3 linked regions of the Arabidopsis thaliana genome follow. The protein of the gene in region 3 purifies or fractionates together with the protein of the main gene of each other region. This does not show direct contact. Each region holds a gene or a part of one and is shown on either strand. Other genes may lie near its edges.

Region 1 (7,166 bases), about 17 Mb from region 3:
ATGTAGTGACTTATAATACTCTCATTAACGGGTTTTGCAAGTCTAAGAGGGTTGATGAAGGAACGAAACTCTTCCGCGAGATGGCTCAAAGAGGATTAGTTGGTGACACTATCACATACAACACTATAATCCAGGGCTATTTTCAAGCGGGTAGACCAGATGCGGCGCAAGAAATTTTCAGTCGGATGGATTCTCGTCCCAATATTAGGACGTACAGCATTTTGTTGTATGGGCTTTGTATGAACTGGAGGGTAGAGAAAGCATTGGTGTTATTCGAGAATATGCAAAAGAGTGAAATAGAACTTGATATTACTACTTATAATATCGTCATTCACGGGATGTGCAAGATTGGTAATGTTGAAGATGCGTGGGACTTGTTTCGTAGCCTTTCTTGCAAAGGACTTAAGCCTGATGTTGTGTCCTACACTACGATGATCTCAGGCTTTTGTAGGAAACGCCAATGGGATAAATCAGATTTGTTGTACAGAAAAATGCAAGAAGATGGGCTTCTTCCATTATAACATATGAAAACTGTATATTATTTGTAAGTAAAAAACAAATTCTTTATTTTGTATTCATCACCATTTGTAATTTTGTATTATTACAAAAGAAATACAAGTAAGCTGGAGTTTAATGTAAAGTCTTTGAAACCAGAAATAAAAGAGGCAAGAAAAGGGAGATAAAGACAAGTTTTCAAAACATTGCTCTCCATGAATACCACTTGAGTTTAAACTGAAACAAGAGTGGAGGAACACCAAGAACTCCTCTTTGAATCCTGGGATCAAACACATCGAATTGTACTTTATTTAACGAATCCAGAAGAACTTGTACCGGCACAGAATGAAGCAGTACCGGTTTAGCTTCTGCAGGAACCTTTCCCGCCAGTTCACGGGCTTTCAGGAGATGTGCATTGGCAACAGATGCAATCTCAAACACGACATTGCTTAGTCCTTCTCTTGAATCGTTATCCAGAAGAATTTCTAATCGTCCACCTTGTTTCACGAGCAACCCGTGCTTCTCAGCGAGATCTGCAGGGATGTAACTCTGGTGACGGTTTCTGGTACAGTGGTACGGTAATGATTTAAGCAGCAAGACAAGACCACTGGCTTTACCAATGTGTGAAGCTGCATGATCAGCTGTTGTTGAACTAATTCCGCCTGCTTGGAGTGTATTGTACAGAAGAGTGGAAACTGTGTCTTCTGCGTATTTCTCTAGCTCCGCAATGCTCTCTGGTATATCGTCTACTTCTCTTTGGGCATCTCGGATTCTAGCGTCAACTGAGCGTTTTAGCCAAGGTTTACTGATGTTATGTTCTGATATTGCCCAAGACAGAGCTTGTGCAGCTGGATGGTTTATGGGCTTTTTGGTGTAGAGTTTGTCAATTGCTTCTTGCCACCAAAGTAACCGCATCAAGCCGATTTTGGGATCAGATGCAACATCCATGGCTCTTGCGGTTTCTACATTAAAAGCCCGGAGAGCAAATGCTGCTTTACGCATCTCAGTTGGGAGTTCAAGGAGACAGAGGTAGTGATGATAGTCATAGTTTCGTACTTGCTGCACACAATAGGACAATGCTGAACGCAAACTACTCGAGCCTCCTCCATTCATCAGTATAACTCCAACTGTGTTTCTTTCTCTTATCCTACAACCATATAAACCACAAACAAGATCAGTTCATAAAAACAATGAAAAACTCTGGTTTCTTCTATCACTCCATTATAAAACAGTAACACAGAATTCATCTACAAACACAAGAGAAAATCCTCCAATTATCACCACTTCAAATAAATATACTGAATAATTCTCACTAATCCAGAGGTTTTGTGAACCGTTAAACTCATTCAGGAATTAACACAAACACTTGGTGGACAAAGCACTGGAATTGGTATTTAACAAACAAAATGAGAACTTTTCAACATTGCTTAACACACAATCATAAACCCAATAATCACACATGGATAACAAATGAGATCACTAAAGTTCACAGAAACTTTCCAATTAGTAATGTAAAATCGCTGGAAACCATTAATGTCGTCCAACAATAACGAAACGAGCAAAAAACACCTTACCCTAACTCGAAAAACTCTGAGATTCAAGTTTCCTATGTTTAGGAACTGAATCTACCATCCAAAATCCAAATAAAATCAACCTTTCGACCCGAAAATGGAAATCGAACTCTGAACAATCGTGCCGGAGAAGAAGCGTTGGGTCAATGTAGAGAAATACGTCGTCGATTAATATAAAACCACTAATGTTATTACACGACGTCGGTTCTGCTACAGTGTAACAGGAAGTCGGTTTTGTTATAAAATGACACGACGACGTTTTTATGTAAAGAACTGTTTAATGAATAAACGTGATTAGGATAGTATTAACCCGAAACCAAACACTCTTATATCGAACAAATATATATACACTCGTATTTATTCGCCTAAAGCCAAAAACCCATTAGCCCCTCAAGGTATCTTCCAGAAGCAACGAGAAGACCTGCAAGAGAAAATTTTCAGATTCAACTATGGCGGACGAAGCAAAAGCTAAAGGAAACGCAGCTTTCTCCTCCGGTGACTTCAATTCCGCCGTTAATCACTTCACCGACGCAATCAACCTAACACCAACCAATCACGTTCTCTTCTCAAACCGTTCCGCTGCTCACGCATCGCTTAATCACTACGACGAAGCTCTCTCAGACGCGAAGAAGACTGTTGAACTTAAACCAGATTGGGGAAAAGGTTATAGCCGTCTCGGTGCTGCTCACTTAGGTCTAAATCAGTTCGATGAAGCCGTGGAGGCGTATTCGAAAGGGCTTGAGATTGATCCAAGTAACGAAGGTTTGAAATCAGGTTTAGCTGATGCGAAAGCTTCTGCGTCTAGGTCACGCGCTTCCGCGCCCAATCCGTTTGGTGATGCTTTTCAGGGACCGGAGATGTGGTCGAAATTGACGGCGGATCCTTCTACTAGAGGGTTATTGAAACAGCCTGATTTTGTTAATATGATGAAGGAGATTCAGAGGAACCCTAGTAATCTTAATCTTTATTTGCAAGATCAGAGAGTTATGCAAGCTCTTGGAGTTTTGTTGAATATTCAAATCAGGACTCAACAGGCTGGTGATGATATGGAGATTGGTGAGGAAGAGATGGCTGTGCCTTCTAGGAAGGAGCCTGAGGTAGAGAAGAAACGAAAACCTGAGCCTGAGCCTGAGCCTGAGCCGGAGTTTGGAGAAGAGAAGCAGAAGAAGCTTAAAGCTCAGAAGGAGAAAGAGTTGGGGAATGCTGCGTATAAGAAGAAGGACTTCGAAACTGCAATCCAGCATTACTCTACAGCTATGGAGATTGATGATGAAGATATCTCTTATATCACTAATCGTGCTGCTGTTCATCTAGAGATGGGAAAGGTATAGTTTTCAAAGTGTTCTTTTTTTTTTGTGTGCTAGTCTAAAGTGATTTGCTTTGGTTAGGTTATGAGTCTTAATGTCTATGTGTTTTGTTTTAGTATGATGAGTGTATCAAGGATTGTGATAAGGCTGTTGAAAGGGGTAGAGAGCTTAGGTCTGATTACAAGATGGTGGCTAAAGCTTTGACTAGGAAAGGAACTGCTTTAGGGAAGATGGCTAAAGTCTCGAAAGACTATGAACCTGTGATTCAGACTTACCAGAAAGCTCTTACGGAGCATCGTAACCCTGAAACATTGAAGAGACTGAATGAGGCAGAGAGAGCAAAGAAAGAGTTGGAGCAGCAAGAGTACTATGATCCTAATATCGGTGATGAGGAGCGTGAGAAAGGTATATACTTTGCAATTGTATGTGCTGTTTGTGCGAGGAAGAATCTCTTAGAATTCAGTAAATGTAGCTGAACTAACATCTTTGTAACACAGGTAATGACTTTTTTAAGGAGCAAAAGTATCCTGATGCTGTGAGACATTACACTGAAGCGATCAAGAGGAATCCAAAAGACCCGAGAGTAAGGCGGATTCATCATCATATATCCTTCAATGTTGTGCTCAAAAAGAGTTCCGTATTTGACTGTTTTAATAACTTGTTTACTTTTTTGCTCGTCACATAGGCATATAGCAACCGGGCTGCATGTTACACTAAACTGGGGGCAATGCCCGAAGGATTAAAAGATGCAGAGAAATGTATCGAGCTCGATCCAACATTCTTAAAGGGATACAGTAGAAAAGGTGCAGTCCAGTTCTTCATGAAGGAGTATGACAATGCAATGGAAACGTACCAGAAGGGTCTCGAACATGATCCTAATAACCAGGAACTTCTTGATGGTGTTAAAAGGTATTTATATAAATAGGTGTTAAGTCACGGGGAGATTATTCGCTTCTGTTATCTAGTAATGTCAATATGCTTATGTAACATGTTTTAAACCATGCAGATGTGTACAACAGATAAACAAGGCAAACCGTGGCGACCTTACTCCTGAGGAATTGAAAGAAAGACAGGTTAGATTCTATTACTGCTTTGAAACTGCTTTGTTACGGGTTTAAGAGAAACCTGTGATCTTAAACTAAAACTTTTGGGATTTGCTTTCGTCCTTATTGCAGGCTAAGGGAATGCAAGACCCAGAAATTCAGAACATTCTCACAGATCCTGTAATGAGACAGGTAAAGAACACACTTCTATAGATGATGTTAGAATTCACAAATCTCTCTATGTTTAGATCAAACATCTCGGAGCAATCCTGGAAACTGAAATTGAGCTATCTCCATGTTGATATGTCTCACCAAAATCTAACACTTGTTCTTTGGACAGGTACTGTCTGATCTCCAGGAGAATCCAGCAGCAGCACAAAAGCACATGCAGAACCCAATGATCATGAACAAAATCCAAAAGCTTATCAGCTCAGGAATCGTCCAGATGAAATAAACGAAGCCAAGACATTGATTTCGATTTTGCTGAGTCATTACTCTTTTATAACTCCAAACACTAAGATCGAATTCTTCTCATTTTTCAGACTTTTCTGATATATCAATTTTTCTTTCTTTCTCATATCCATGCGTTTTAAGACAATAACAACCTTGTCTTCACAAATTTGATTAGCTTACATGTCTATATAGACCAAACAAAATCACAATAAGTTTTTATGTCTAGGCAAAACAAAATCTGTTTAAGCAGCAACTTCTTGATCCTTGGATGAAAGTTGGTTCTGAATATGTTGAGGAACAACGTCGAACTTAGCCAGTTGCATTGTGTAAGAAGCTCGACCTTTTGTCATCCCTCTCAATGTACTCACGTACTGAAACATCTCTGCCAATGGAACCAGAGAGTCGACCACCTAACAATAATAAGAACAACAATGTCAAAATCAGATTTCATCATCTAACAATTTAGGGGTTTTTTCGATCATTTTGAATAAAACATACCTTGAGACCACCGGGTTTGTCTCCGAAGCTGTTAATTTGACCTCTTCGTGAGTTAAGATCACCAATGACATCACCAAGATGTTCTTCTGGTGTAACAACTTCAACTCTCATGATAGGTTCAAGCATTCTCGGACCCGCTTTCCTCATCCCTTCACGGAAAGCTCCTCTTGCAGCAAGCTGGAAAGCTAGCACGCTTGAGTCTACGTCATGGTAAGATCCGTCAACTAGACAAGCACGGACATCAACAACCGGGAAACCAGCAAGCACACCGGTGCTCATACACTCCTCAAGTCCTTTCATGACACCAGGAATATACTCTCTTGGCACAGCTCCTCCTTTGATCTCACTCTTGAATTCGTATCCTGACCCTGCTTCCAATGGCTCAAACCGGACTGTAATATCAGCAAACTGACCTTGTCCACCTGATTGCTTCTTGTGTGTGTATTTCACTTCAGCTATTTTGGAGATACTCTCACGGTAGTTGACTTGCGGTGCACCAACGTTAGCCTCCACCTGAAAGATGAAAAGGAATTAGAAGCTTGGAAGCTTGAAGTAGAGAATTAGATTTATAGGTTATGTTTTACCTTGAACTCTCTTTTAAGTCTGTCAACGATAATCTCGAGATGAAGTTCTCCCATTCCTTCAATGACGGTTTGGTTCATCTCTTCATCACGAGAAAAATGGAAAGACGGGTCTTCTTGAGCGAGCTTGATCAACCCTGTCGCCATTTTGTCGATGTCTGCTTTTGTTTTTGGCTCAATCGCTACCTTGATGACGGGATCAGGGAAGTCCATTCGTTCAAGAACAACGGGGTTTTCTGGATCACTCAAGGTTTCACCAGTGATTGTATCTTTGAGACCCGCAAGAGCGATAATGTCACCTGTCAAAGCCACTTTAACATCTTCTCTGCTGTTTGCGTGCATTTCCAAGAGTCTTCCGATTCTCTCCTTCTTTCCTTTGTTAGCATTCAACACGTAAGAACCAGCTGAGATTTTCCCTGAGTAAACCCTCACAAATGTAAGAGAACCCACAAAAGGATCACTCATGATCTTGAATGCTAGCCCAGCAAATGGCTCGTCATCATCTGGTTTCCGTATAATGGTAATTTCCGGGTTCTCAGGATCTGTTCCATTCATCGGCGGGACTTCAACGGGCGAAGGCAGATAATCGACCACAGCGTCGAGCAATGGCTGCACTCCTTTGTTCTTAAAGGCTGAACCACATAGAATTGGCACAAACTTGCCCGTGATGGTTCCTTTTCTAACCAATCTCTTTACCGTGGCCTCGTCAGGCTCAACTCCTTCTAAATAGTTCTCCATGACCTCATCATCCAAATCAACAATCAATTCCATCATCGCCGCCCGATACTCTTGAGCCAAATCTTCAAGATCTTCTGGAATATCCTCGTAACTGAACTTTGCACCAAGCTCTTCTCCTGACCAAACTATAGCTTTCATCCTCACAAGATCAACAACACCTTTAAAGACATCTTCAGCACCAATTGGTATCTGAAGCACCAGCGGCTTAGCACCCAAATTGGTCACAATCATGTCCCTAGTCCTGAAAAAGTTAGCTCCAAGCCTGTCCATCTTGTTAACAAAGCAAATCCTAGGCACACCATATTTATCAGCTTGTCTCCACACAGTCTCAGACTGAGGCTCAACACCAGCAACACTATCGAACAAGCATATAGCTCCATCGAGAACTCTTAAAGCACGTTCAACTTCCAGAGTGAAATCGACGTGACCCGGTGTATCAATAATATTGATCCTGTGTTTATCCCAAAACGTTGTGGTTGC
Region 2 (7,850 bases), on a different chromosome or scaffold from region 3:
AGTTGTATTTGGAAAACTATCCATCAAAGTGGACACATTTAAAAAGCACACGCACACATAAGAGTCATAGCTCCTTGAAGGCTATATAAGAGGTAACCTCTTTCCCCATACCCAAACAGTCTTCTTCTTCAACTCTATAACATAAAACACAGAGAGAGATACCAAAAAACAAAAACCAAAATTTTCTCCAAATCTATTTCTTTCGAATCAAACCCATTTCTTGAAACTCGATTTCAAACAAACCCATCTCATTGTTTTCACCAAAGACTTTTTTTTTTTTTGTCGGAATCTGATTAAAACCAAGCATGAAGAGAGTCAGAGGGTTCAAAATTGGACACAGATTTGTCAAAATTTTCAAATGGATACCAAGAAACAGATGCCCGACCCGAATCACAAACCCGGTTACCGGAATCCGGTCATTAGCACGGTGTTTAAGCCGTGGAGCTAAGAGATTGTGCGGTGGAAGCAAGAAGAATCCGGGTCAGAATCAGATCCGGTTGGGTAAGGATCCGAAAAAGTCGAACCGGGTTGTTCCTCGAGGACATTTGGTGGTTCATGTCGGCGAATCAGACGATGACACGCGGCGAGTTGTGGTGCCGGTGATTTACTTTAATCATCCATTGTTTGGAGAATTGTTGGAGCAAGCGGAGCGGGTTCATGGGTTTGATCAACCGGGTCGGATCACTATTCCTTGTCGGGTTTCGGATTTTGAAAAAGTCCAGTTGAGGATCGCTGCATGGGATCATTGCCGCAGGAAAAATTCTTACAAGATTATATAATTTGAATTTATAAAATAGTCAAAAATCAAAAGAGGATTAAAAAAATTTATATACACTTATACAGTACAGAGAAGGATGATTTCCTTTAATTTGTGAATATTAGTTTTTTTTACCATCTATGTTATACGATAAATACCGATTCATAAATACAAGATAATTATTTGTATCAGTTTATTTCATGGATGATAGACCACATTGACATCCTATAATACTATATGGTTTAGATTTATGTGTGTAATTTTATAAGTTAGAACAAAACTGAAATTATGTTCTAACTTATAAAATTACACACATAAAAACTGAAATTAAAAAAAAAAAACAGAAAAAACTGAAATTGGGCTATCAGTATTTTTGAATACTTATATTTCAATATATCAAATACAGTGAGTGATGGTGTATTGCTGTATCTGAAACCTATCATCCACTATAAACCCCAATTGAAGTGAAACAATCAATATTTAGAATTTCCATATAATGTTAATTATGAAATTACTTCTATCTAAATATATTTCAGAAGAATTTTTGAGATACCACTTTTATGATTTTTATTTTTTTTTAATAATACCACTGTTTTTTTTTTTTGTTAATTTTCAATGTAACACAAAATGCAATCATAGAATTTGTTTTATTAACTTTTATAGAGCATATTATAAAAACGTTTATAAAGTTTCTATAATGCATAATATCAAACATTTATAAGATTTTTCACAAAATTTTTAATGTTTTATAGTGCTTAGAAGATTTTTCTTAAGAAATGATATGAAACTAGAATTTTTGAACAACCTTTTTCTGGTCTTTTTGAAAAATGGTATCATAAAGGTGGTAATTTTCAAAATTTCCCAAATTTGAATACAAATTCAAATCATATTGTAGGAAAGTGATCAAATATGTTAAAATTTAGAAGATGAGGTGAGAACAAATGTGCAGAGGAGATGCACTTGCTAAATTTGCATCTTCATGTGATTTGTATTTTGCTTTTTAGATTGTAGTTTACCACTTTGGTTGGTTACAAGTATTTGGAGAAACCATGTACTACTTGTTCTTTGAGTATTAATATATATGATTATATGTGGTATGTTTAGAAAAAAACAAAAAAACCAAATATCAAACCTAAACTTATTAAAAGTAAAGACACATTTGATTAAAACCTAAACCAAAAACGTACAAAACTATTCGCTTATGATGATATTATTTATCATAACCAAAACTTTAATCACCATACATACCTCCGATTTGGTTTTCTCTCCCAAACTGGTCGTCTTCTCACCTCTGGTTTACTACTACTTCGGATTGAAGAATTTTGATCGTCTCGTTGCTAACTCCACGATGTCTTTCTGACGCTTAATCTTCTGACAGAAGACAAAGACATAGCATAAAAAAGTAAGCACAGAACATAAACGGATGTTTATTCTTTTCTAGACGGTATATTTACATAAATAACGAATCACTTATCAAAAAGCTGGAGTAGCTCAGTTGGTTAGAGCGTGTGGCTGTTAACCACAAGGTCAGAGGTTCGACCCCTTTCTCTAGCGTTTCTTTTCCTTTTGTATTTTTAAGATTTAAAAACATTTTTCCACGGCTACAAAAGAACATTCTCGACATACACAAAAAAATTCGAAATTTCGAGAACTCTCTTGTGCCTTCTTCTTCATCTTCCTCTGTTTTTAAAAATGCAATCAAGCAGATTCTCACGATACCTAAACCAAATCCAATTCAATGGCGGAAGAAGCAAAATCCAAAGGAAACGCAGCTTTCTCTTCCGGCGATTACGCCACCGCAATAACCCATTTCACAGAAGCAATCAACCTTTCACCAACCAATCACATCCTCTACTCAAACAGATCCGCTTCTTACGCTTCTCTCCACCGTTACGAAGAAGCTTTATCAGACGCGAAGAAGACTATAGAGCTTAAACCTGATTGGTCTAAAGGATATAGCCGATTAGGTGCTGCGTTTATTGGATTGTCCAAGTTTGATGAAGCGGTTGATTCGTATAAGAAAGGATTAGAGATTGATCCGAGTAATGAGATGCTTAAATCGGGATTAGCTGATGCTTCGAGATCTAGGGTTTCGTCAAAGTCGAATCCTTTTGTTGATGCGTTTCAAGGGAAGGAGATGTGGGAGAAGTTGACGGCGGATCCGGGGACTAGGGTTTATTTGGAGCAGGATGATTTTGTTAAGACGATGAAGGAGATTCAGAGGAACCCTAATAATCTTAATTTGTATATGAAGGATAAGAGAGTTATGAAGGCTTTAGGGGTTTTGTTGAATGTGAAGTTTGGTGGATCTAGTGGTGAAGATACTGAGATGAAGGAGGCTGATGAGAGGAAAGAGCCTGAACCGGAGATGGAACCTATGGAGTTGACGGAGGAGGAGAGGCAGAAGAAGGAGAGAAAGGAGAAGGCTTTGAAGGAGAAAGGGGAAGGAAATGTTGCTTATAAGAAGAAGGATTTTGGGAGAGCTGTTGAACATTATACTAAGGCCATGGAGCTCGATGATGAGGATATTTCGTATTTGACGAATCGTGCTGCTGTTTATCTTGAGATGGGGAAGGTATTAAGTCTTATACTTGGCTTAAAAGTTAAACCTTTAGGTACTTTAAGATTAAGGAGGAGATCTTGGGTTCTTGAAGTAGCTTATCTGTTTAGTATAGCTTGTCACTAGTTAGTACATTTGTGATGACCTTGATGGGTTTTGATAACTTTCATCTGCTTCTTGTTGGAGATTTAAGAGTTTTGAACTTAAGTTTTCACTTGTGCTGAAAGTAGTTAGCTTTAGATGAGGTAGAAATTTAGGGTTTATGGCTTCATGATGGAGTTTATTCACTTGTTCTGTAGAAGTGGTTATCTTTATTATTACTGGAATCAATTAATCTTCAAGTATCCTGAGTGGTTCAATTCCATTGGTCTATGTGTTCTTGCATTAGTCTTGTTTAATTAACAGTTGGTTCATCTGGATCTTACTGTATCTTGTGTGATGTTTTACTTCATTTCTCAAATGAAATTATCAGTACGAGGAGTGCATTGAAGACTGTGACAAGGCTGTTGAAAGAGGCAGAGAACTTCGTTCTGACTTCAAGATGATAGCAAGAGCTCTGACTAGAAAAGGATCTGCTCTAGTGAAAATGGCGAGATGCTCGAAAGACTTTGAGCCTGCGATTGAGACTTTCCAGAAAGCTCTTACAGAGCATCGTAATCCAGATACATTGAAGAAACTGAACGATGCTGAGAAAGTCAAGAAAGAGCTGGAGCAACAGGAGTACTTTGATCCTACGATAGCCGAGGAGGAGCGAGAGAAAGGTATATATACTGATCCTCAGTTACACTTACTATCTTGAAACGTGATTTGATTTTAGGATTAAGCATTTGACACTTCTTCATTGATGCAGGTAATGGATTCTTTAAAGAACAAAAGTATCCAGAGGCAGTGAAGCATTATTCAGAAGCAATCAAAAGAAACCCGAACGACGTGAGGGCATATAGCAACAGAGCTGCTTGTTACACAAAGTTAGGAGCATTACCAGAGGGATTGAAAGATGCTGAAAAATGCATTGAGCTGGACCCAAGTTTCACGAAAGGATACAGTAGAAAAGGAGCTATTCAATTTTTCATGAAGGAATACGATAAAGCTATGGAAACGTATCAAGAAGGGCTAAAACATGATCCTAAGAACCAGGAGTTCCTTGATGGTGTTAGAAGGTTTGCAAATTTTGGCATTCTCTCTTTGTTGTTTAACCTTGCAAAGATCGGTCTAGTGAAAGTGTTGTTGTTTTCAGATGTGTGGAACAGATAAACAAAGCGAGCCGTGGTGATCTGACTCCAGAAGAATTGAAGGAGAGACAAGCAAAGGCAATGCAAGATCCTGAAGTTCAGAACATATTATCGGATCCAGTGATGAGACAGGTAAAAGCAGTGGCAAGCATTGTGTTCTAACTCGTAAGCTGTCTGTGAGACTTGTGTGATGATGTCTATTGTAGGTACTAGTGGACTTTCAAGAGAATCCGAAAGCTGCACAAGAGCATATGAAGAACCCAATGGTAATGAACAAGATTCAGAAGCTGGTTAGTGCCGGAATTGTTCAGGTCCGGTAAATTGGTTATGCTAAACCGGAGTGGTATATTGAATCAAACCGAAGATGTTTCCAAATTTTCACTGCGTTCTTTTGGGCTTTTGTTAAACTGATGAAACTCTGATTTGGTTTGGGTCATGTTTGAGGAGTTGTTGTAGAATGAATCAAGTCTGTGTTCTCCTAGTTTTATATGCTACTTCTTCGAATTTTCTCAAAAGAATCTTCAAACGAAATTTATAATTGCTGTCAAAAAATTTTAAAAAAAACTATAATTCTTTTTTGGTCGAAAATTATAATTTAAAAGTCAAAAGCTGTAAAATCTTTTTTGTTTTCTACATGTCTCTTTTACAGAGGAATAAAAGTCTTTTTAGACGGGCCTCACGTGCATTGCACACGTTATGGTGACTAAGAAATTGTGCAATAATCAGATTGTGTTGAATTTTCTCTTCCACTTTTCTTTAATACAAAATATAGTTTAAAAAAATATATATATAGATTTTTCTCTAGTGGAACGGTTTGTGGAAAGTATTTTAAGATTTAGATCTTAAGATTTTGTTTGCCCAAAAAACAAAAACAAAAAGATCTTAAGATTTTAAAATCTATGAAAGTTTAGGAGTTTTAATTTTAGAATTTAAGTTTCAGAATCTAAGATATGTAATTTTCCTTTGCTAACTGAAAAAACATAAGTAATAATTTCTGAATTTTGATTTAGAACATAAAACTATTTCCCATAACTTTTTATTTTGTTAATTAACGATTATTTTCAAAATTATGACATGTTCCTAATAAATACTATTCGGTTAATCGGTTCACTACACAAATCACAAATTCGTAAGGGGAGGTGTACCGATGGTTAACCAAATTACAGAGTACTTTTTTTTTTTCTTGCAATAGAATTTGCATAGATTTTTCATAAACATTCCATGCAAAAGGGTTAATAGATGTTAAATAGTAATTTAAGAGGATATAATTCATATATACTTGCATGTTTTGTTCATGTGGCAAACAGCCTAAAAATATTTGTATTTCCATAATTGTACCTAATTTGCTTCCATGATCACTCTTCACCGTTACTTCTTGGACTTGTCTTTCCCAAAAGCTAACAATCCGAAGGTTTATTTAAATTAAATCAAAAGAGCACTTAGTGTTTAACTTTAGACTAGTGATAAGATTTTCACACCTGCTCCCAAACTACCAAAGTAAATGGAGCTTATGTGGAAAGAATGTCATCATAAGATTATTCAAATAGTAAAGTGACTAGCTCTTGGTCTAATGGTTTCCGTGAAAAGGAACAAAAACACTAAAGGGTATGCAGAAAGTAGGAGATTTGTCCAACTTAGAGGTTATAATTTGTATGCTTAGAAAAAGTGTATATGTGTGAAGTAAGAAACTCATCTGATTTTAGAAAACAGCATTGGTTATTAGAGTGGTTAAAAATGGTAAACATTATTGTGGCCATCCATTGCTTATATCCGAGACCGTAACTATATTGAAATGTAGGAGCTCATCCAATTTTTGTGGCCAATTCTTTTTCTCCATAAACCCGTTAAAATCATCGTTATCTCTAGTCGAAACCATGACAAAAGCATAAACATCCCAAGCCTACACATAAATACAAAGTATCATAAAGAAACAAATCACCCACTAGGACAAAAAAGAAAATACATGACAAAACCTTATTAAGGACCGAATTTTAATTTATTAGCCGAATATTCTATGACTTATGCCTAGCCGCGAACCGGTTTACAAGAGCCAATGCATTACTAGTAACTCGAGCCACATGAACCACTCTTCTTCTAATCGCTGATTTTACCACACCGTCCATAACCTTTCCATCGAACCCATCCAGACACGTTGTCTCATCCGTTAAGGCAGCACTAACCCAAGTCTCAACGTTACTTAGTCTCCACAAGAACTCGTCTCGATCACGACCAGATCGACCAACTTGCTTCAACTCCCTCATCGACTGAGCCAACATCTCTAAACCGTCTCCAAGATTTTCAACACAATCCTTCACGGCTAAGTACTCTCTCCTTTTGATTCTCCTAGCTTTAGTCAGCTTCCCTACATAGATTGTCGTGGACTGAACCCGGACTAGAGTAACGGCTAAAGCGGTTTGAGCTAACTGGTTTTCGTTGCGGCGGATTTTGTCTGCAAAAGCGGCAAGGCATTTGACGCAGAGAGTTTGGTAACGCGTGACGCGGCATGATGAGACAATGAAGTTGATGCTGCTGCTAGGGTTTGGTGATGATGAAGGTTTGGCTATGGTGGATTGGCAGAGTAGTGGAAGAAAAAGTAGAAGGCAATAACAAAGATGGGTTAGCTTTGGTTCCATTGGTGTGTGTGTGGGGTTCTTTGTTCTATTTGTGGTGCGTTTCAATTAAAAGGCATATGTGTGTATACACGAGTGAGGTGTTATTTATAGGAGAGCTACATTTATTGTATTTTTTTTTGTTATAGATATTGTTTACAAAAAGACAATCTGTATTAAAAAATAAACTCCAAATGGTTTTCCATTTAGTGATTAGAAAACAATACACTTTGGAATTCTGATACAAGTATACAACAATAATTCCCTAGTAGAAACCACTGTTTATAATCTTCCATATATGCTTGTTCAAGTTTGAGAGGATATATATGTATTATTATATAGCATAGATTAGTATTTATCTTTCTACCATAGAAATATGTAAAAGGGGGATATGGTGGTCACATGTCTTCTTTTTGGTCCTTTGATTAGCTTTTGCATGTTTTACCATCTTTTCATATACTATTTTTTATTTATTTTTAATATCAGCTTTTAGTATTTCAGAGAAAAAATCTGATACTGTTTCCCAGATCCATCACTTATAAAAATAAACAAAACACTTCCATAGTTTCCGTTGATATGTGATTTATGTCAAACTTGTCCAGTTTTATATATAATTATTTTCCACCAAATATGCAGGTTAGGCAATGAAAATTGGGGCTTTCAAAAAATTAGACCCATACAGTAGAGCACAA
Region 3 (8,986 bases):
TAGTCAAGAGATTTTTACAGCTTCCCAAGCTGCGCGGGATGGATCCTTCAAAGCTATTGCTTCCGAGGTTCACATAGGAAAGACTAAGACTCTCAGGGAATTCCGGAAGAACACCTGAAAGTTTGTTATCTTCAAGTCTGACTCGCTCAAGGGTCTTACACTGACGAATAGACGCTGGTATCTTACCATGAAGCTGATTAGAACCCAAGATGAACAATCTCAACTTCTGTCCATGGCAGAGATGGGGTGGTATCTCCCCTGTAAAACGGTTACCAAGAAGGTCCACCTCCTCTAAGCTTCGATTCAGGCCTAAACTCATTGGTATATCTCCATAAAAGCCGTTGTTAAACAGTGTAAGCTTCTTAAGGTGCTTCAGCTGAGTTACTTCAACTGGTAGTTCCCCGGTGAGAGTGTTGTTATAAACGAGCATCTGTGTCAGACTCTGAATCTTCCATATGCCAATAGGAATCTCACCGGACAGCTTATTAAAAAAAAGCTCCAGGCTTTGTAGCTTCTTTAGCTTACTCAATGCAGGTGGTATCTCGCCTTGGAGCTGGTTGTCGTTCAGCTTCAAGGTTTCCAAGCTGCTGCAGTTCCCAAGCTCTTGAGGGATATTCCCCGAGAGACGATTATCGGAAAGGTCAATAACCGAAACCTTTCTCAACATACCCATTGATGATGGGATTGTACCTGTCAAGTTGCATTTCACCATGACTAAAGAGTGAAGGCTACTGCAGTTGCCTATCTCAGGTGGAACACCGCCTTGGAAATCATTGAACGAGAGATCTAAAGAAACCAATTTCTTGCAGTTGCTAGAACCAAAATGAAGCCTCCCTCCAAGGCTGTTGTTACTGACAAATAGCTCACCAAGATTCTCGAGTAGATAGAGACTTGCTGGCAAAGAACCATTTAACTTGTTGTTGTTCAAAGCCAGATATTCCAGCTTACTACAGTTCCCAAGCAACTCTGGAATGGTACCAGACAAGTTATTATATGACATCCTCAGATCTACGAGCTCTATCAACCCACCAACACTTGCAGGAATGAGACCACTAAGATTATTGCGATCAAGATACAGAAACGTCAAATTCTGCAAGCTACCAAAAATATCAGGAACTTCTCCAGAAAAATCATTGTTAGACAAATCCAAATACTCAAGTGAAGTACAGTTTCCTAAAGTGGAAGGCAATAAACCAGAGAAACTGTTAAGACTGAGATCCAATGTGACCAAGCTCTTAAGCTCCCCAATTTCAGAACCTAATTGGCCTGAAAGCCCAGAAGCAGACAAATTAAGGGTCTCGACGACATTACCAGAAAGATCACAAATGACACCAAACCAGTTATTATTACATGGAGTGGTTTCAGATGTGTTCTCCTTCCACGTCGAAGCTACTTCAAGTGGGACTTTATCAAAGTGCTTGAGAAGCGAGAGTAAAGCCAAACCATCTGAGTTTAAACTAGAGACAGAATCTATACGGAAATAGACAAAGAGAGAGCAAAGCAGAGTAATTTCGAGTAACCCAAGATTCCTCATTTGAGATTAGAGCTCAAGAGACTGAAATATGAAACACTCGTACGTAGTAACCTCACTCAACAACCCTTGAACCCAGAATGAGAGGCGGAAAAAAAAAAGAGAGAGCTTTTGGATTTGAAAGGGTATCTGGATTTAGTGACAGGAACAGATTGCATTATTTAAGAAACGATCGATGAGTTTGGTGAGAGAGAAAAAGAGCGCGCTTTTTGGTTAACTCTTCGTCAGAGATTGTGAACCTAACTTTACGAATTGGCGACCTTCAACGCTGTTTCGTGTTTCTTTCTCGCTATTTCCATTACTACTCGGAGACTGTTTCGTGGTTTTAAATATTCCATTTTCCACGTTTTGTTTTCTTAGCTTATTCAAGAGAAAGCTTCTTTGGACGCTAATTTTCTATTGACATTTCATCCTACTGTTACTTTGTTAGATTTAAATCTTTCATAAACATTATATATTGGAATTTAATCAAGATCTCTGGTATCTGTCGTCTACACTAGAATTTTAACTAGTACTTTATTAACAAAACCATATTCACATAAAACAAAAATGGTTTATTAAAAACATAATGTCAAAACTGATTGAGAGATTAATTTTGATCTTCCCTGTTAACAATATTAAGATAGTGGAGCACTCATCAGTCTATTTAAAAGTCTTAAACCACTTGTATATCTCTCTTTTATGGAATTATTATGTTTATTTCTCTCATTATTACAAAATGTCATCATTTTGGGAGGATGCTATTACTCTTACTAAAATAAGATAACACGCATTCTCAACTTAATTAGACTCAATGATCATCTTTAAATTGATATTCTATATTCATTCCACCAACATAACTCAATCATTCGACGTGCACCATTACATATTATAATCTATCTAATTCCTTAACTGAATTCAATTTGGTTTGGTCGTCTCATGGTATTGAGAAGTCAAAAAAGTCCCAACGAAGAATCATACTTTCTTTAATGTATACAATATTCGTTTGTAACATTTTAACACGTTTATTTTGGAAATATCATACTGTCCATTTCGATTTTAAGTTGGTTGGTCGTCACTTTTGCAGGTCCCAAACGAATTTAATAACAACTTCTATATATGTCTCCATCACCAAACCCTATAATTATACTGTAGTTCATAAATTTTCATAGTTGACAAAGAAAATGTGATTTTCACCATAAGGATTTAGAGAGTGGTGGTCCTTGTTCTGTCTTCTATCACTTTTCTTTAAGTTTTATATATGTTCCACTTCTTTGGTATATTTCCTTTACATGATGTTGAAATTTGAATTTAACTTCAAAGGGTTTTCACATTAGATTCCAATGAGGTTTGCAGATTGCATTTTGTCACAAGATCACAAGGCCACCTACATCCTAAGACTAAAACCCCCAAAGACCCAAATGCGAATCCATTGAGTAGTGATGGAGGAATTTTGTTTTCAAGTCCAACGGTTCATCGTAAAATATAAGCAAAAGCATTTTACAAGAGAAACATGACATTAACCAAAGGCATTACATACCATAAGAAAGCAAAACAAGAACAATGTAATAATACCAAGATACACACACTCGCTCGCAACACCACAGATTCTCTACAGCTTAACAACCACTGGATAAAACACCTTAATCCGGGTCACAGTTTTATTCTCCATACACCACAATGCAACTCCATCTCAAACTTTATAGTTTAAGAAACACAAACTCTTCAATCGCAGAAACACCCCCAATCCTCTCAAGTGTTTTGTTGTCTGGTTCTTCATCAACTCCAATCGCCATTATCGCTTGTTTCCTCAACACTGTTCTTCCAACACTCATGAAATTCACATTCACGTTTTGTTCTCCAAGTATGTTACCAACCTGTCCAATCATCCCTGGTTGATCCACTTGCCTGCACAGTATCAGATTCCCTTCAAGGCTCACATCCACACCAAATGATCCGACACAAGTTAAATGCGGAACTCCGTACTTCACCTTCCCTTCAATACTTATATCACCAGCATCAGAGACAGCACCAGCGAAATTTGACTCCACATTCAAAATCTGAACTTGGATGGAATCAACAGGGTACTCTGGTGATGAATCAACAACCATTCGTTCCTCACTAATACGAAGACCCTTTTGTTTAGCTATGAAATCAGCATTCACCAAGTTGACATATGAATCTGAGATCGGTTCAATGATTCCCTTTGTGATCATTGCACGAAGTAGTCTAGTATCCAAATCATCTCGGTCACGAGCTGACCGATAGACCACCCTAATGGACTGTACTCCTTTACCTCCAGATGCTAACTGCACAGCTAACCTCCCAAGCTTCTCAGCTAAGACAATATAAGGAGTCAACTCAGACAAGACCTCAGGAGCCACCATTGGAGCATTGACGGCAGTAGCTGATAACTCTCCTTTCAATGCCCCTGCTACAGCCTCTGCTATCTCAATGGCTACACCTTCCTAAAATATCACATTGGAATTATATAAACTCGAAAAGAAGTGTAGAGAGATGAAACAAGTAACATAAACAAGATCAAGAGAGTGATGATACCTGAGCTTCTTTTGTGCTAGCTCCAAGATGAGGTGTCACAGTAACATTTTCATGCTGAATTAGTCTGCTATCTTTCGATGGTGGTTCCTCACAGAACACATCTAATGCTGCCTGAGCAACGATTCCGGCATCGAGAGCTCTAACGAGTGCATCCTCGTCGATGACGCCACCTCTAGCGACATTAATGAGACGCACACCTTTCTTCATCTTAGAGAAAGTTTCGTCGTTGAAGACCTTTTTGGTGGCCGGAGTTAAAGGCATGTGCAGGGAGACGAAATCGGCGGTGGAGATAGCTTGATCGAATGAAACAAGATCGACACCGAGAGCTCTGGCTCTGTCAGCTGGCGCGTAAGGGTCGTGGGAGATAACGGTCATGCCTAGACCTTTGGCTCTTCTCGCCACCTCCGTCCCAACTTTCCCGAAACCCATCACGGCCAAGGTTTTTCCGACGAGAGATACACCGACGTACTTGCTCCTCTCCCATTTTCCTGTAAAAATATCCAAATGTCCAAATTTCAGAAACCGCCTCGGTATTACTTGATGGAGGAGTCATCTCAGTTCAACTCAAATTGATTTTATTTTTTAGAATTTTTTTTTTTACTAGATTACAGAAGAAGAAGAATAACTCAAATTTTACAAAAGTGATTTTTAAGTGAAAGTGATTAAGACTTAGAAGAGATAATGGTATTGTAATGTCTACACTTTCTCAGTTTCTGTCTCGATCGTATATTGATGCTTTGACTGACGACAATTCCACCTTAACAGTAGTACCAGAAACAAATAATTGAGTCTTATCAATTATGATGCATGATTATTTTTTAATGACCCACTTGTATATTGTGTACTAAAATATCTACAAATTTGTATATTGTAAAAAGAATCCCATATTCTTCTGCTAATCAAGTTGCACTATATACGCCGAATCAATAATTAAGGTAATTTAAAAATTGTAATAAACTATTAACGAATATAAAGTTTTTAAAAAGAAAAAAAGACAACAAAGACTCGAGAAAATGATATTTGCCATGACAAAATTCCAAAATGGAAAAAAAAAAAAAAAACAAATTCCAAAATGGGTGGAACTGATGGGTTGTGACGCGTGAGATTGAAACTTTAAAGAGAGAATATATCAGGTAATCGAATTATTTCTTCAGTTACCGATGCATGGGTTTGTAATAAATTCCAAATAAGATGATTCAATCCCTTTTTTTGTCCTTTTTTGGAAAGTACAAATTGAAATTTTGTCTAATTAGTTACAATTTTGATTTTAATTTTGGATTTTGTTTTTTGTTGTTCAAAATCATTAAAGGTAATATGGTCTTAACAATCTCCTAAACTTTATATGATTCGATTCAATCTAAACCTACAATCAAAATTAGTATTGTAGTTATAAATTGATATCTAAACCGGCTAAAAAAACAGATTTTATGAATAATTTTGTGAATCTTATATTTTTGTAAATACTTTACTTTTACTAAAATTACATATACATAACTAATTAATACACATTTTAAACACATTTTAATATATTCCTCCAATTATAATTTAGTAATGTTTGATTCAAAAATTTATATTTATAAAATGTAAATATCAAATTTATTCAAATATTTAATATAAAAATCAAATAAACCGATTGTCTGCGGTAAACAGCGGATTAAATCTTAGTTGATTGATACAAAACAAAACAAGAAGTTTGCAATAATAGACAAAGAGACTCCAATAATTTAATTTCTGTACTGTGGTTGGTGAGAGACTCGGAGAAAAGTAAAATGAGGTTACTGGCGGCCCCAAAATTCAGGGCCCCGACTTTTACTTTTTGCAGTAAATGGACCCATTATTTTACATTTGACAGGTTCGTTTGTTTTTTCCATCTTACAGGGAGAGGATCAAATATGATTTTCCCCTTTTGTTCTACTTACGTAAACCAATTTTATTTTTGCTTCTAATCATGACTTTTCTACTATCCAATGACAAATTGCCACTTCTATGCTATAATGCATAACTCCAAAGATCAACTGAGCAATTATTACGAAGAAACACTTACGAGTAACGCCACTATACTGGAATTATTCAAATGGACCATTAACTCTTCTCAATATATGAACAAAACGAAATATTCAATATCTATCGATTAATCAATGATAATCAATTCTTCTTTTTTGTAATCAAGATAATTTGGACTTCATCAGATCTCGTAATCTTTGCGAGACTAAAACATGTTAGATTAGTTTTTTCTTTTCCATGGTGTGAAACATAGTATAAGCTTTAAGTTAATCTAGATAGGTTAATTGGTTAAATGTCTCATTTCAATAAAACAAAAAAAAAATGGCTAACCGGGAACGTACCGGCTTTAATAGAAGCGTCGGCCTGAGCAACGTTACGTGCCATAGAAGCAAGCAAAGCAATTCCATGTTCGGCAGCAGCCACCGTATTAGCCGTTGGAGCATTAACCACCAAACACCCGTGCTCCGTCGCCGCCTGCAGATCAACATTGTCAATCCCAACTCCGGCTCTTCCGACCACTTTCAACCTCCCCTTCGCCGCCTCAAACACTTCCCTCGTCACTTTAGTTCCGCTTCTCACGATCAGAGCGTCACTCTCCGCCACTTTCTTCTTCAGATCTTCCGGCGAAAGATCGTAAGAGCAGTCAACGTCGCCGAATTCCCTGAGGAGATTCACGCCGGCTTCTCCCAGTTTCTCGGTGACGAGGATCCTCGGCTTTGGAAGAGTTGGATTGTATTCATCAGAGTCAGATCCGACGGTTGAGAATCTGTTATCCTCTGTTAACGTCGTTTGCTCGACGGTTTTTAAGGCGGCGCTTATGGCCGTTAGTTTGACGCTTGTTGCGTAACGGCGGTGAAGGAAAGCAGGGAGGACGGCGAATCTAGAAGACGGTGACGGAGACGGAGACGTCCACCGTGAGTTGACGGCTTTGACGGACGAACACGAAGATGAAAATGCCATGACTCTTTTTTTTAATAATAAATATGATTGGTTGTTGTGAGTGTGTGCAGAAGAGCTAAAGTGGTTAATATAGAGCTTACAGGAGGTAATGGATGAGTTTTAATTTAATCTTTCACATTGTGGGCTACCAACATTATGTATTAAGTTGAACAGTTTGTTTGGTAAAAGAGTAAATAAAATGAGAAGCACATGCACAGAGAGTAGGACGTTCTTGTCTAGGTGCATCATCATTGTCTCAATTAAAACAAAAAAAACACATATAAAGTAGTATATAATAAAAGATTCATTTAAGCATTCAATTAATTGTTACTATAATTTAGCACTGAAATACATTGTCATCTATATTAGTATATTACGGTTAATATTCATCATCATGTGCATCCTTATTAATAAAAGAAAAATAATTGACGACCAATCTTTTATGTGATTCTCCCACTAAAATGATGGAGTTTCCGAAAGCATCTTTAAACCATAACTTTATGTTTCTTTTACTTAATTTTATTTTTGCAGAGAAGATAGATTCGGACTTTTCCTCACGAATTTTTTCAACTTTATTCATTAACAAGTGTATATGAAAAGAAACATGAAAGAACAAGACTTTGCAATGAACAAGACATGGGAGAGAGGGAGGAGACTTCACCATATCATCCTCTCTCCCAAGTTGACAACTGCAACAATCCACCAAGAGTACTATAAACATTCTTCTCCTTGGAAAGAATATACCTTTTACTCCAGTGTATTCCTTTCTGGACCTGGAAAATTTGGTGGAACTACTACCAGAGACACATCTGGAGAATTAACATTTGTACAACTAATCCAAACCATTAAGCAGATGATGAAATTTCTCATTGTAAAAACACACTCTAGGTTTTATATAAACAAAAGCATGTACCAGGGTGAGCAATTTACACAAACATTCCCATCATGTTCAGGGATTAATAGCATCAACATCTCAATAAAAGAAGAATCCAAATACAGTTTTTTTTTTTGTTAGGTTAGCTAATTAACCTCTGGCTTTAAGCTCGGCAAGTCTCCTGGTTAAATCATCCTCCTCAACTTTCTCTTCAGTCTTGGTAGGAATGGCATGACCAGCAGGCTGAGGTAGTCCAACAGAAACTTCAAGACCGTAATCATCTGCTACTTGCTGCATCAAGCTGTTGACTTCTCCTTCTGGAGTCGACAATGAAGTAGAGCCAGCCATTGCATTATCCATGAACTCAGCTTGGACTTCCATGTTCACAAACTGTTTCTCAAACGAATCCATCGTCTCAGACATCTTCTGTAAGTTGCCTGTTGCAAAGAACAAACCAGAAAATGATAACACGAGTTGCTACAGCACAACGTATAAGAGTATTATAAGCCCTATCTTCTTCTCCCTCTATACTACACTTACCAAAAGGAGAGAAATGCAACAAAAATTCATCACAGATCACAGAACATCCATGACGGTGAGAGAGAGCTATTCTAATATTTCATCAAACCAAACCCTAATGCATGATTCCATATCCTTCAATCAGCAAAAACAACAACAAGGAGCAGAATTTTTCAATCTATACTATAATGCTATGAGCACCAACAAAACCAAATTGATTAGATTGCTGAAAAGTGAGAATGTGAAATACCAGTGGTAAGAGACGATTCGAGGGATTTGACAATGTTGGTCATCGATTTGGTGATGGTAGCCATCTTAGCCTGGGTATCGAGTCGAGCAACAACAGCGTCCAATCGAGAAGAGAGACGAAGGTAGTTCATCTGCTCGCTGCGTTTGCGAATGGCGTTCTCGGCATAGATCCGAGCACCATCCATGTTACCTTTCTCAATGGCTTTCTTTACCTTGAGCTTCTCCGATCTCTCCTCTTTTTCGCACTTCCTAGCTTGCCTCTGCAGAGACTTTGACGTAAATTTCAATTCAAAGATCTGGTTCATCAGCTTATCTGTATTACCCATCTCCTC

Evidence for each region. The genes of interacting proteins can lie anywhere in the genome.
Region 1: the proteins of PGDH (region 3) and Hop2 fractionate together in Arabidopsis thaliana (co-fractionation; one large-scale study listed by BioGRID). This does not show direct contact.
Region 2: the proteins of PGDH (region 3) and Hop3 fractionate together in Arabidopsis thaliana (co-fractionation; one large-scale study listed by BioGRID). This does not show direct contact.

The regions. Positions count from the first base shown.
Region 1 is NC_003070.9:23,228,511-23,235,676, forward strand, and holds Hop2 (stress-inducible protein), read left to right. Parts: upstream 1-2,411; 5' UTR 2,412-2,515; coding exon 2,516-3,391; intron 3,392-3,489; coding exon 3,490-3,778; intron 3,779-3,870; coding exon 3,871-3,956; intron 3,957-4,058; coding exon 4,059-4,282; intron 4,283-4,379; coding exon 4,380-4,446; intron 4,447-4,548; coding exon 4,549-4,608; intron 4,609-4,756; coding exon 4,757-4,870; 3' UTR 4,871-5,033; downstream 5,034-7,166. Other genes in the region: NG1 (Pentatricopeptide repeat (PPR-like) superfamily protein), read left to right, coding at 1-521; AT1G62730 (Terpenoid synthases superfamily protein), read right to left, coding at 694-1,608; SCO1 (Translation elongation factor EFG/EF2 protein), read right to left, coding at 5,112-5,279, 5,368-5,880, 5,952-7,166. UniProt on the Arabidopsis thaliana protein: Mediates the association of the molecular chaperones HSP70 and HSP90. Mediates nuclear encoded chloroplast preproteins binding to HSP90 prior to chloroplastic sorting.
Region 2 is NC_003075.7:7,335,885-7,343,734, reverse strand, and holds Hop3 (stress-inducible protein), read left to right. Parts: upstream 1-2,373; 5' UTR 2,374-2,495; coding exon 2,496-3,332; intron 3,333-3,789; coding exon 3,790-4,078; intron 4,079-4,167; coding exon 4,168-4,477; intron 4,478-4,554; coding exon 4,555-4,681; coding exon of another isoform or gene 4,682-4,711; exon of another isoform or gene 4,712-4,755; coding exon 4,756-4,869; 3' UTR 4,870-5,717; downstream 5,718-7,850. Other genes in the region: AT4G12410 (SAUR-like auxin-responsive protein family), read left to right, coding at 306-779; PME1 (pectin methylesterase inhibitor 1), read right to left, coding at 6,562-7,182. UniProt on the Arabidopsis thaliana protein: Mediates the association of the molecular chaperones HSP70 and HSP90. Mediates nuclear encoded chloroplast preproteins binding to HSP90 prior to chloroplastic sorting. Involved in acclimation to heat.
Region 3 is NC_003070.9:6,099,204-6,108,189, reverse strand, and holds PGDH (D-3-phosphoglycerate dehydrogenase), read right to left. Parts: upstream 7,176-8,986; 5' UTR 7,034-7,175; coding exon 6,411-7,033; coding exon of another isoform or gene 6,395-6,410; exon of another isoform or gene 6,207-6,394; intron 5,115-6,206; exon of another isoform or gene 4,860-5,114; coding exon 4,772-4,859; exon of another isoform or gene 4,558-4,771; coding exon of another isoform or gene 4,547-4,557; coding exon 4,070-4,546; intron 3,979-4,069; coding exon 3,211-3,978; 3' UTR 2,949-3,210; downstream 1-2,948. Other genes in the region: PEPR2 (PEP1 receptor 2), read right to left, coding at 1-1,534; AT1G17744 (uncharacterized protein), read left to right, coding at 6,395-6,835; VPS46.1 (vacuolar protein sorting 46.1), read right to left, coding at 8,037-8,323, 8,656-8,980. UniProt on the Arabidopsis thaliana protein: Involved in the plastidial phosphorylated pathway of serine biosynthesis (PPSB).